2 linked regions of the Daphnia pulex genome follow. The protein of the gene in region 2 binds, or shares a complex with, the protein of the main gene of each other region. Links are inferred from orthologs where the notes say so. Each region holds a gene or a part of one and is shown on either strand. Other genes may lie near its edges.

Evidence for each region.
Region 1: pre-mRNA-splicing factor RBM22-like (region 2) and pre-mRNA-splicing factor SPF27-like share a complex: the UniProt entries of both Homo sapiens proteins name them as parts of the postcatalytic spliceosome P complex. The link is inferred for Daphnia pulex from reciprocal best matches to the Homo sapiens genes RBM22 and BCAS2.

The regions. Positions count from the first base shown.
Region 1 is NC_060018.1:4,112,678-4,118,974, reverse strand, and holds pre-mRNA-splicing factor SPF27-like, read left to right. Parts: upstream 1-3,094; 5' UTR 3,095-3,155; intron 3,156-3,225; 5' UTR 3,226-3,277; coding exon 3,278-3,382; intron 3,383-3,573; coding exon 3,574-3,666; intron 3,667-3,734; coding exon 3,735-3,907; intron 3,908-3,972; coding exon 3,973-4,083; intron 4,084-4,144; coding exon 4,145-4,310; 3' UTR 4,311-4,367; downstream 4,368-6,297. Other genes in the region: uncharacterized protein LOC124189006, read right to left, coding at 1-344, 633-792, 960-1,330, 1,493-1,617, 1,785-2,030, 2,238-2,415, 3,339-3,370, 4,599-4,677 and 7 more. UniProt on the Homo sapiens protein: Required for pre-mRNA splicing as component of the activated spliceosome. Component of the PRP19-CDC5L complex that forms an integral part of the spliceosome and is required for activating pre-mRNA splicing.
Region 2 is NC_060024.1:7,161,681-7,168,565, reverse strand, and holds pre-mRNA-splicing factor RBM22-like, read right to left. Parts: upstream 4,010-6,885; 5' UTR 3,966-4,009; intron 3,910-3,965; exon of another isoform or gene 3,890-3,909; intron 3,234-3,889; exon of another isoform or gene 3,216-3,233; 5' UTR 3,140-3,215; coding exon 3,086-3,139; intron 3,013-3,085; coding exon 2,959-3,012; intron 2,872-2,958; coding exon 2,608-2,871; intron 2,548-2,607; coding exon 2,032-2,547; intron 1,968-2,031; coding exon 1,611-1,967; 3' UTR 1,529-1,610; downstream 1-1,528. Other genes in the region: renalase-like, read left to right, coding at 1-86, 147-252, 311-514, 588-694, 762-935, 998-1,095, 1,168-1,239, 1,309-1,470; uncharacterized protein LOC124200920, read left to right, coding at 4,010-4,087, 4,294-4,389, 4,449-4,577, 5,389-5,415; uncharacterized protein LOC124200919, read right to left, coding at 5,439-5,471, 5,540-5,788, 5,867-6,028, 6,097-6,393. UniProt on the Homo sapiens protein: Required for pre-mRNA splicing as component of the activated spliceosome. Involved in the first step of pre-mRNA splicing.

The DNA.
Region 1 (6,297 bases), on a different chromosome or scaffold from region 2:
GGGGCAGGAACGACTGGTGGCGATTTTCCTTTTACAGGAGTAGCGACTGGTGTTACCACCTTAACTACAGGTTCAGGGATGGTAACGATTGGCGGAGATGGTTCCTTAGCTGGAGCTAGGGCAGTCTTCACCTCAACAACGGACGCGGGTGTTACATCCATCGGTTCTACTTGCAAATCCTTTGCAGCCGTCTTGGATTTCTTGCTTTTCTTTGTTTCTGGTGGTGTTGGCTTAGGGGTTTCAACAGGAGGAGGTTGAGTTGGTTTGACATCTTGGACCGGTGCTTGAACGGGCGCTTCTTCTTTCGGCTTTTCAACAGGTAAATTTGGTACGGGTACTACTGACTGTAGAATGGATATACAAATTAGAACTTGGACTATTTTCCAAATCAGATTCTCACTACGATGGACAACTCACCAAAAACATCTGTTGATTAGCTCAATAAACCATGCTGTGTGCGCTCACTCGCAGGCTAGGCAGCTACCTTCTTGGTAGCACTCGCCTGTACATGTTAAACAATGTGGCATGCATTAAGTTACGTTCACATGCGGTAATACAATTTTAACAATTCAAACAGAAATCAAACGAAAAACTATCTAAGACATACAAACATTCACAGAAAACAAAATTACCTCGCGCTTCTTCTCGAGCAAAGCAGTCTTGCTCTTCTTCCGGGCCTCAGCAACAGCAGCGGCAGACTTCTTAATCACGGCGGAGTACGGGTTCAACTTCATCAATGCTCTCATGTTGGTAAGAGGATTGCGCTTAACAGATGCACGACGGATCATCTTCCTGTAATTTAAATTGTATCGATTAGTCATCTTTGCACCAGACAGTATCACTTGAATGATAAACTGCGTTCAGATTAATTTGCTAATCACAAAGATTCATAACCCAATGCTCTAAATGTGGTTTTCATCATTAATTAATCAATAATAAAGATTAAAAAGAAAGCTTGCCTTGGTCGTCTGATAACCTTCTGGATTTCATCAGACTTCAACAAACGAGACAAATCTGTTCCGGTCATGATGGGCTGAGGCAAGTTGTAGTTGCTCTTCAGCTTAGACTTCTGACGCCAAGTACCGTAGAGGGCGTTCAAGCGTTGGAAAGCAGACTCGGTCCAGATGCAGAAACGGCCAACATGACCACCAGGAGCAAGCTTCATGAGGTTCAGTTTGTTTACTGAAATCATAGAAACTCCGGGGATGTTACGGAAAGCCTTGGTCAAACCCTGATCTCTGCCATAGATGACCAGTGGACCCAATTTGCTGGTACGGCGACGGTTGCGCATCTTACCCTTACCTGCGCGGAAACGCCTGGTCTTGTAAACCTGTAAGAAATCAGATTAATTAGACGGTGTTCACACATAAAATCATTCATGACTCAGATTTTGTTCAGAGCTCTAAGGTGAAATCATTTACTCATAAACACAGACCAAGAAGCAACTCATCATTTTCCCGTGATAATTATACATAAATATCTAGAAACAAACCTTCTGGACATCAGTCCATGCGCGAAGACGGCGCAACAACACGACGGCCTGTTTGGTTTTTTTGTATTCTTGAACCTTGTCCGACACAACCAAAGGCATCTCCGGGACATCATTGATCAAGTGACCTGAATGTAAAAACATTTTAGTTCTAATTCAATATGACCTTATTTACTACTATCATTGTATGGATCAGGGACTCATGGTATGACTTCATGCTTGTCAGAAACACAGGAAACACATATTCATCATGCTAGTATGGAACCGTGCAATGATGATCTTGGCTCATATTTACCTTTGGACATCACCAAAGACGGAATACCCGAAGCAGCGACGGCCGAGCACAATGCAAAACGTTTCTGGTTAACGTTGATCTTGCGATGCCAACGGCGCCAGATCTTGGTGGGGGCAAACATACGTCCACCACGACACATGTTACCATAGGCACCCTGACCGGAGCGATGGGTACCACCTCCTCGGACACGGGGAATACGAGCCACAGCACGACCAGTACCCCATGATTCAGCACTTGTCTGATGACCTGTAATAGGAAAGAAGAAGATTAACAATCACACCATTACATGTGTGTATGAAGTTTGTCCGGTTGCCCAACCCCTCACTTTAAGAAAACAAAGCGAGAAAGGCCTCAGGGACTCGCTTTAGTGTTGCACACTGCACAAGAAGAGTCTGACGTACAATTACTCCTACATTTCAATGCTGTGTGCCATATAATTGGCATACAAGTTACCTGCTTTCTCGCTGACACAATAAGGGTGACGACGATTCATTGACATTTGTTGTTGAACAAAGCTGACAATGTCTGGCCTAATGGGAGCCCTGAAGATTGCAGGGAGCTGGATGCTGGTTCCAGAGGCCTCAGCCTTCTCATTGTAAACGGTAATCAACGGCCTCGCGACCACCTTACTCTGTAAAACAAAATGGATAAACAAATTAGATTTAAGATTTTCAAGAGACAACACTTGAATTTACACAAACTTTGAACTAGATGTACCAATTAACCAAAACATAACAATAAACCAAGAACGACGTTGAATTAACATAGAAAAACAGCAAGAGCCCATTTGACACGAGGACGAAACCACGCTGTGGGTAACATTTTACTCCCAAACTTTCGCCATAGATTAACAAGAAAATGGCTTAGAAAAATATACGCACGCAAGAATTTTCTTAAAACACGTTTCTCCCGTTAACCTTTTTACTTACTATTCGTAAATTAATGTATGTAAAAACTAGTAAAATGTTTGGAGAACCTCATGCTTACCATCTTGGTAGATAGTCCTGACCGGGTAAAAAGGCGAATGAAAGAGACCCACAGTAATGGCGACAAAGAGGAAGTCTACAATGTTGCCGGCATACTTTGAGAATTGCCGCCCTCTACGTTCCGTTTTTTACTTGATTATTTACTTGAAAAATTACAGATTATTCACTGAACTGATCCACTGTTTAATAACAAAAATTATGGAGTTTCAATTGATGATTTCAAACATTTTAATGGAGTGATTAGTTATAAAATTTTTAATATTGTTTTATTTGTTTCACAATGCAACGGTGTCCAAAATATTATTGAATAAAATTTAATATACCAATTTATTTTCATATTTTATTCATTTAAAGGAAGTTAATGATCTTTATTCATTATCAAAAAGTAAGTTTATGAATAATTAGACATAATGAAAATCAATTACTAAAACTGTGGCTCATATTTATTAATCCAGCAGAAAATCTGACAATCTTGCTGACAACAGACAGTTTGACACAAATCACAAAATGCCGATTCCGTCAACAAACATTTCCACGCCGAACGAAAGGATTTTGGTTGACGATTTACCATACGTTGACCAAGAATATGGAGATCCAACTCTACGAGAAGCGGTAAGCAAAACTTATACATTGCAAACTTTGAAATATTTGAATCGCTTCGAATTGAGGCTTGGAGATTCTTGTGTTAGCCTAGTCATCTCTAACATCAATACATTATTGTACTAGACCATAGTACTGTATGTTGCTGAGAACTCTCGCTCTTGTCCAATAGTTGTTTAATGAGAGTAATTTCTTTCTATCAGGCACTTGCATTGGTTGATGAAGAGACACGAAGATATAGACCAACCAAAAACTACCTAGAACATCTTCCTCCACTTGAGCTGTCAGCATTTGAAGTAAGAACTGTCTGCATGGAAGTAATGATAGGAGTGTGTAATAATTATGGAAATTATCATGTTCATAGACTCCTTTGATGAAGACTGAATTTGAGCGACTGTCTCAAAAGAAACCAATGGATGTTTTGAGCATGAAACGATATGAACTCCCACCCCCATCTGCTGGTCGTCTAAATGATCTTCAAGCATGGATAGAGTGTGTTGATAATTCAATGGCTCAATTAGAACATCAAACAACAAGGTTTGTTTTCTAAAAAAAAATTTTACAGCAACCATAAATTTAAAAAAATTTCAATTAAAAAACAGGATTTTGAACTTGGAATTAATGTCAGAGTATGGTTGTGAATCATGGAGAATTTATAACACTGTATTGTCCCAGATGATCCAACAATCTCAGAAGCATCTTCAGGAATTTAAGTATGATTTCAGTAAAGTAGACACCATATTGCAAAATACACTATTATATTTTTCTTTACAGGAAACAAATCCAAGATGTCAATTGGGCTAGAAAAAAAGATCAGACAGAGGTTGGAGACAAAATGAAACATTTGGAAGCCACTTGGTTTGGTTTGATCACTAAAAACTACGAAATCGAACTCGCGTGTGCTGAAATTGAGAGACAGTTAGCTTCACTTAATGAATGAAATTCAATGTAAACCTACTTTATCGAATTCGGATAATACACTGCAACAGGAAATTGATTCATCCGAGATTTTCAGTAAGTGACAACCAAAAAGATTTGGTTGTAAGGGAACAAAACAAAAAAATAGTATAAAGTCATGCACTTTCAGATTAGCTTGTCTTATAAATGGTAAGTAGCACGTTCTGATTTTATATATCACACAATTGAAAACGAGAAGAAGCGTATGAGTACAGCAAAGCGTAATTCAGAGAAGGGTAAAAAAAAGGGTAAGATCATAGGGAAGTCTCACTTGGGGCTGAACTTAAAGGTAAAGGGCGGACGGAAGACTCATCTTCCAGCACCATAACTCGTTGCTTTAGGACGCGAACCTGATAATCACATGACATTTTTATGTCGGTCACACTTGATAACTCGTAATTTTTCTCTATATACCTGCATTGCATGTCTTTCCGACATGTTGACCATTTGCTGCTCTAGTCTTTTTAATCGAGATTGGTACTTTTTCTTAGTCCTCTCAAGAAGTTGGACCAACGTCCTGAAAATTAGTTTACGGATATTACATATTTGTTGAAAACGTAACATATTGTAAGTTAAGCATTTAAAGATATCTTACGCGTTGGCTTTCTTGACATCGCTAACTAGTTCAGCCGACTGCTGACTACGGATTTCTGCACTTGAAGTGACGCGTTCAAGGGCTCCCGTCAACTCTTGGATTTTCAATTGGAGTCGCTTTTCTCGAACTGTTAATTCGTCTCCATCAGCTCCTTCAATTGAGGACAGAGGCTTTTCGCCTGATGCATCTGTGTTAGATCCCTATCAGTGAAAAGTGCGTTTAAGTAACCTAAATCATTCTCCATTTCAATATCCAAAAAACCTACGCCTGTGTTAAGACTTCGAAGTTGAGCGGCAGTTGCTTGTTGTTGGGCTTCATGAGTAGCCCGCTCTTTTTCAAGAATATAAACCTGAGTTCGAAGTCGTGAACGTTCTTCTCTCATGGCCATCAATTCCTAGAGAAACGATAGGATTAAATCTATTTTTACTCATTTATACAAAAGCAGATGTTCACCTGCATGATGACGGCCATCTCTAGATCAATTTTCCGAGCTTCAGCCAAAGGTAAGACTTCTTTAGGCAAAGGATCAACCAAAACTGACTCCAGGGGAAGCGAAACTTGTTGAACTGTGTTTTCCAAGCTTGATCTATCACCTACAAAAGATAATGAGAAAATGATTAAGTAATTTGCTTAAGTAAGCCTGGGCACAAAATATGTTACCTTTCAACCGGCCGATTATATCTCGTACTTTCCTTTCTGTGGGCTCCAGAGTACAAGCTGGATTGGATCCCGATCCTGAACCACTCTCCGCTCCACTTGAGGTAGAGCTTGTTGTACTACAAGATAGACGAGAAACAAATGGAATAAGAAAATTATAAGTCCTGAAGACCGACAATTTTTTTATTTTTTGAAGTACTTTGTGTGTCTTCCCGTGTCCTCCCAATTGTCTCGTTCACGATCGTATTTTGACAAGAGGGATCGAGCAAGATTCTCAGCCGAACGCCTGCGCTCTGTAGCGCGTTTCCAAAGCACACTAAGATCTTTACTATTGCCACCTGATTCCGTTTCCCAAGCGGTTCCACTACGGCCAGTCAACCCTAGTCCTGCCACTTGGCAGTTGGCCAATAGAAGAGACATTTCGCTTTCTACTAAGGCAGCTAGAACTTCAAATGCTTCTGAAACTCTATCGGCTCTTTCAAGTGCCATGCGTAACGCCATGCAATTTGATTCGTATTTGCCTGCATGAATAAACAAAAATAAAAAATAGAAAAATCTATTTCAGCATTTCTTTTATCGAATATGAATACCGAGCAGCACTGCGAGACGTTCGCCCAAAGCTCGAGACTCGGCAAGTGTCATCGAAAGCACGTCATTTTGAGCTCGCAAATGCTCAGAGCGGCTAGCCAACCGTTCCACTTCCAGCTCCAATTCATTG
Region 2 (6,885 bases):
GGTGGCCGCTTCGTTACTCAAATTAGGAAAAGAAAATATCAATGATCAGGTTCAACTATCTATCTGGGAAAAAGCTAGAGGAGCCGGTAATTTTTAAATCGTATTACAAATGTGCTTACATTAACTGACTTTCTATGAAATTCAAGGAGGGCGAATGTCAACAAGCCGAAGTCCTCACAATCAATTGTGTGCTGCTGATCTAGGGGCACAATACATAACCTGCACACCCCATTATGGCAAGGAACATAGCAAGCAAGTCTCAAGACCATTTATTTTGAAAACATGTTTAAATTTTAAATTTTCTTTATAGGTATTATGAAGAACTTTTGTCTGTGGGAATTTTAGAGCCACTCAAATTAAACATCAACAATTGTCATGAACATGAAGCAGGAACCAAGCATTACATCTCTCCAAATGGAATGAGCTCCCTTGTCAAATATTTTCTTAATAAATACGAGTGTGAACCAGAGTTTGAACACCATATTACTAGTGTGACTAGAATAAATGAGAAATGGTATTTCATAGCAAACAAATGTAGAAACAGTAGAATTCAATTATATATTGGCTATATCCCTTTTTATTATTAGGTGTGTTTCAACTCTTCAAGGAAAGCAAAACTATTTTGATGTGGTTATTTTAACAATTCCTGTCCCTCAAATTCTGCAATTGGGGGGTAGTGTAAAAGACATTCTTGGTAAACGTTCATCTTTTCTATAACTTATATAGTTTAGTTATCTGTAATCTTACTTTTTAATTTGTAGAAAATAACCATGAAATGAAGACAAAATTGGAAAATGTCAAGTACAGTGCACGTTATGTAATGAGCTTGTATTATGATCACGGCACTGAACTGAATTTACCATTCGATGCCTCCTACATAAAAGATGATCCTGTATTTCGATTCATCGCAGTCGACAATTTAAGAAGAAATCGGCGTAAGTTTTATTTTAATCAAGCCGAATGAATCGAACGTTACCAACTCATATTGTTAATCCAGCTGACGTCCCAACATCTGTGATTCTTCACACATCTGTCCCCTTCGGTGTACAACATATTGATCTAACCGTCCCAGAAGCGGAACCTATTCTAAAAGAGGTAAATTATGCATTATAACATTTTGTTTTAAAATGTCCGAGATTATATTTTGAATTTTACATTTTGATTAAGGCTTTAAAACGATCTTTCCCCGATCTACCTTCACCAAAGGCATTTAAATGCCATAAATGGAGATACTCCCAGGTTCTCACTAACCCTTTTTCATTTCTGTGTGCTTGCAAATTTTACCTTTTTATTTTATTTGCTTTTAAGGTAACGAAACCGTATGAAGATCAGCCGGGTGTACTTGAGATCTCCCAGGAACCTCTTCTGCTAGTTGGTGGGGATGGATTTACTCATTCGAACTTCGATGGTTGTGTATCGTCGGCTGAAAAAATCATTCAGCACTTCACATCAAAAACAGCCAATTTATAGCGCAAAACCTTATATGCAAAAAAACTTATAGATATTAAATAAAATAAATTACAGGACATTTTATCGTGAGAGTTTAAATTTCAAAAACGGAAATACAAAAATTACAGACAAGCATATCGTAATTCTGAAAATTTCTGTCGTTATGTTTGTCGTGTCTTATTAATCGCGCCAAGACGAGTCGGATCCTGAGAAGGGTAATGGATGCCCTGCTGACTTTCGGCAAGAAATACTGGAAGTTCCGCCTGATTTGGTGTGGGGTTTGGTGGTGGTGGAGCGATCAATGGATATGTGGATGGTGGATATTGAGGATAAGGAGATGGGTATGCATTGCTTGTAGGAGCTAAATTGAAAAAGTTATGCTCCAATTCTTCAGGATGTGGCAAAGCTCGGGGAAGACCCGGAACAGGTTCAAAACGAGCTCCAGCTTCAGTATTTGTTGTTCCAGGAACATTCTGTTTGCCTTGAGATTTACCCCAACGAATAACAAGCCGCCGATTCTAAATTTTCAAATAATTTGAATAAGTTTTGGGGAATTGAAACCAGAAAGTAAAAGGTCCGTACCTGAATAATTAGTTTGTTAAAGGTTCCTTCGGCAGCCAATTCTGCAGCTGAGCGGGTGACGTATGTTACAAAAGCACATTGCTGTCGTGAAACGATAGTGATGGATCGAATTTCACCGTACTGATAAAAATGATCTCGTAGTTCTTTTTCCAACATCTTCTCTCCAATGTTACCCACATACAAAGTGGTAATGGACTTATCTTCAGGAGCATCCAAACGAGGAAGAGTGGCAGCCCGACGCATGAGCTTTTCTGCCACTGGATCATTGGTGCCATAATAACGATCTTTAATGTTCTGATCAGCCAATGGATCATCTGGATCAGTGGGTTTTTCATGACGGTAAGGACATTCTTCTCCTCTTTTGCATTCACCTTTCACCCAGAAAGAACAAATGTGTGGCAAGTTCCTACGATAATATGGTGCTGTGCGTGCCAATTTCATCAGAAGATCTGATGGAGGATGAGATTTTCCTGGACCACCAGCAGCTCCAGGTACACCATGATCTGTTGCAGAAAGCTGTCAACAATAAAAATGCATGAATGTAAAAAATTCATTTCAAAGCAGCATTCAACTTACTTGTTTCTCAGCATTTTGAATAAAATATTCTTTGTTCACATCAGATTTTGCAATATTGTCTTTAATGTTAAGTGCTTGGTCTCTGACTTGAATGGGAAGTCCATATTCAAGATCTAATAAGCAAGTCTGGCAGACATTTTTAAGTTTTGCACAAGTCTGACAAATTTCTGTTTTCTTGAAGCGCATACGGGCACCAGGGCACCATCTGAAGGTTGTGAAAGGTCTGACACAAATCTTACATTCACTGCCAAATTTTTCCTTCATCTAAAAAAAATTAGGGGAACCGAATTACGAATAAGAATTACGAAAAACATAGTTAACGTATGCATTTTTAAGTTAAGTTTCATTCACCATTCGAACGTAAGGGTTGTCTCCTAGACATGTTGGGCAGAGAATTGGAAACTCCTAAATTATATTAAATTAATTCACTGGTTAGTATCAGTCTCAATTTTAAACTATCAAAATAGTATAATATTACCGAATCTTCCCAACTTGTACGTCCATAAGTGTTTGATGATTTCGACAGCGCCATTTTGAAACGTAAAATCTGATGCCCCAAAGGACCACACGATAACTTTAAAATCGGTCTGTCTCGGTATCGATACTAACTTGGATCGATATATATTGTTTACTTACTTCATTTTATGGAAATTTATGACAATTTTTATTTAAATTAATAAATGTGTGTAATAATTTAAATAGAATTGTAAAAAATTTCCATAACATAAAGTAATTAAATATTATAAATAAACAATGGATATCGATTTAAAGTTAAATATCGATAAACAATCCTTTTTCCTTAAGTGTTTGTTTTTGACGTCTGAACTCTGAATTGACATGGATATCCAAATACTGGGGGGGGGGGGGGGCGGGTAGGTGAGCTGGATAAGGCGTCGCTTGGTGATCGGGGAGCACCTTGAGACCTGAGTTCGACTCTCCCGGTGAGCATAGTTGCTCCCATACCCGGGCACTACCACTACACATACAATACAGATCTCTTCCTAAAAAGGCAGGCACTAGCGCCAAATCGTACACAATGATGGTACTTCCATCCCCCTTCTTGGGGCTCCTTCCACACAATACAATACAACACTTACACTGCTCACGCCATCGCTCAAAAAAATCAATAGAAAAAATATCTCGTCGGTGCAAGAAGGTCATCTAGTTGAAGACCAGATGTCTGCTAAACATAGCAGACGCACCTAATCCTACCAATACCAATACCAATCCAAATACTGGAATCAAATTTTACCCAGGATTTAGGCGAGATAGAGAAAAGGGTGGATAAACTAAACAAAGATGGTAAGTAACATTATTTTTTAAAGTAATAACTCATTCTTAACCTCATTCAAACTTACCTTTAGCAAAAGAAATCCAGAAGTTGAAGAAAATTGGAACTACCATGGCCAGCCTGAAGCTTAACAGGCGACTAAAGAACCTGTCTATGTGTGTAAAAAAACTGAAGAAGACTACGCTAGAGGTAAGTTTGGTAAACTTTGATTTATATACACAGTTCCTTCTAAATCATGGAAGTCGAGCCACCCACCAACCCTCAGCTGCCAACAGCAATCTTCCCTAGGTGAATAGCATTGTTGATCGAGGGGAAAGAAGTCCTGCAATCTGCAATCCACAATGCTTTTACCTGGGGTATGATTTTCTAATTCATGTTCATGTTTTAAATTTCAGGACAATCAGGCTGAGGGAGTATTGGGTCAAATTCCTAGTTCCAGCGTTGAAGTTTGTCCCAACTCACCCATTCTCGCATGTGATTATTGTGGGAAGGTAACTATTTAATCATCCACTCTTACATATTTCAATTATAATTTTTTTTGTAATTTCAGACCTTTACGTCAATCTTCAGCTTGAGTAGCCACCGCATAAGCCATTATCGGATGCCGAAAGGTTATGGTCTTTCAAGAGAAAAGAACATATGTTATTGCCAGCCCCCAACTCATATAGCTACATGCAAGGTAAGAGAACATTTTAATTTATAATGAACTGTTAACTTACTTCATTTTTTAGAATTTTAGAAAGTAAACGGTTTCCTCCGGCTCCATGCTGTCTGAATAGGGGATGGCGCAAAAAATTAAAAAAATAATAAAACATATTAAAAATAAGAGAAAAAATAAATAAAAAATATCTCCCAATCAAACTATAGCTGGGAAAAATTTACTTTACGAGTTATTCACGTTTAAAGTTTCGACTCCCTGGCTCTGCCAGTTTTAGCTTAGCTCTGGTCAGTTTTTACAATGGGAGCAGATCACGTGACCGGCAACAGCCAATAGAATGCGTATCCCTGAAAACAACTTTTCATTCTTTTACCACATGGCGGTAAAAAAACTAGATTGCTACAAGCTTGACGCGACACCTTGCGGACACAGACGAAATGACAGATGTTCCCCGCTTCTATTGGTTCCCCCGATCACGTGATCTATTCTCATTGGTTAAAACTGACCAGCGGTAATGCACCAAGAATCACGTGATAAATAGGCCACCTCCTGCGTTTTAGAGGTGGGCCACGTAGTCGAAACTTTCAACGTGAATAACTCGAAAAGTAAATTTTTCCCAGCTATAGTATGATTGGGAGATATTTTTTTTTTCTCTTATTTATAGTATGTTTTATTATTTTTTTTATTTTTTTGCGCCATCCCCTATTCTCAATACCGCGTCGTTATTGCATCGGCCGTTTATCTCAAGATCATTTGCTTCAGCTGAAAATTTTGATAGAAAACATGCAATAAAAATTACTCAAATAAAATTGGTCTTATCTGGTTTACCTAGCAACGAAGCTTCGAAAGCTGCTTGTAACCCTCCGTCCGCCATCATGGAAATCACCAATAAATCGGCCATGAAACGTCCACCACCTTAAAGACAAATCGAAATGAACTTAGATGATGGCAAGCCAATGAAATGCATCTCTCTGTGGACATACAACTATCATATTCGTCGTCTCTTTGCAAAAGTGTGGGCAATGCTGAAGCTCTTTCTGAAGCAGTAGGCAAAAGAAGACTCCAAGCCAATTGGAGAAAAGCTTGAGCTGTATCTTGTACGGCACCCAGATTTGGATTTCCCCTGCAAGAGCAATAACGTGGTTCTTCAAACGCTGCAACACAGGTAAGGAGCAGCCGTGATGCCCAACATCAATGCCCACTTGATCTCCGTGACTCAAAATCCTTTGAAACTAACGAATGAAAAAGCAAAATTCATCCTGAGCAAGACTAAACTGACCGGTTCTTGATCGTTATAGCTGATTGTGTACACTTTGCCATCGCCGGAAAGAAACAGGAGACCAAGGGCTGTGCAGACAACTTGATCTATCGTTATTGGAAGTTTCTGGACTACTGTGAAACGGTCCACCCGGGTCCACCGTAGCGGCGCTCAAATCCAATCGAATTAAAGTATTTTCCATAACTACGCGATCCTAAAAAATGGCAATGTACAACAAATAATAAATCTGCAAAGAATTTGCTAAATTGAAATAAAGTATACCGATTTGAATGTTTGAATAAATGGAGATGCTAATCGATCCAAATGAGCCAAAATCAGAACAGCGGCTTGATAGAGATCAACATCGACATCCTTGTCACCATCTTCTGGTTCGGGCGATAAGCTAGCCTGCCTCAAGAGACAAGCCGATGGACTAGTATGATGACTGTAAAGTATGACAGATGACTGTAAAATCTGATGCCCCACAGGACCACACGATAACTTTAAAATAGAATGACGAATGACGTTGTCAATGAAACTGATCATAGATGGCGACTGAGAGCTTTTATATACTGGCATAGCGACATTGGGACGGATTATTCTTTAGAATTCCTAGTTCCAGCGTTGAAGTTTGTCCCAACTCACCCATTCTCGCATGTGATTATTGTGGGAAGGTAACTATTTAATCATCCACTCTTACATATTTCAATTATAATTTTTTTTGTAATTTCAGACCTTTACGTCAATCTTCAGCTTGAGTAGCCACCGCATAAGCCATTATCGGATGCCGAAAGGTTATGGTCTTTCAAGAGAAAAGAACATATGTTATTGCCAGCCCCCAACTCATATAGCTACATGCAAGGTAAGAGAACATTTTAATTTATAATGAACTGTTAACTTACTTCATTTTTTAGAATTTTAGAAAGTAAACGGTTTCCTCCGGCTCCATGCTGTCTGAATAGGGGATGGCGCAAAAAATAAAAAAAAATAATAAAACATATTAAAAATAAGAGAAAAAATAAATAAAAAATATCTCCCAATCAAACTATAGCTGGGAAAAATTTACTTTAC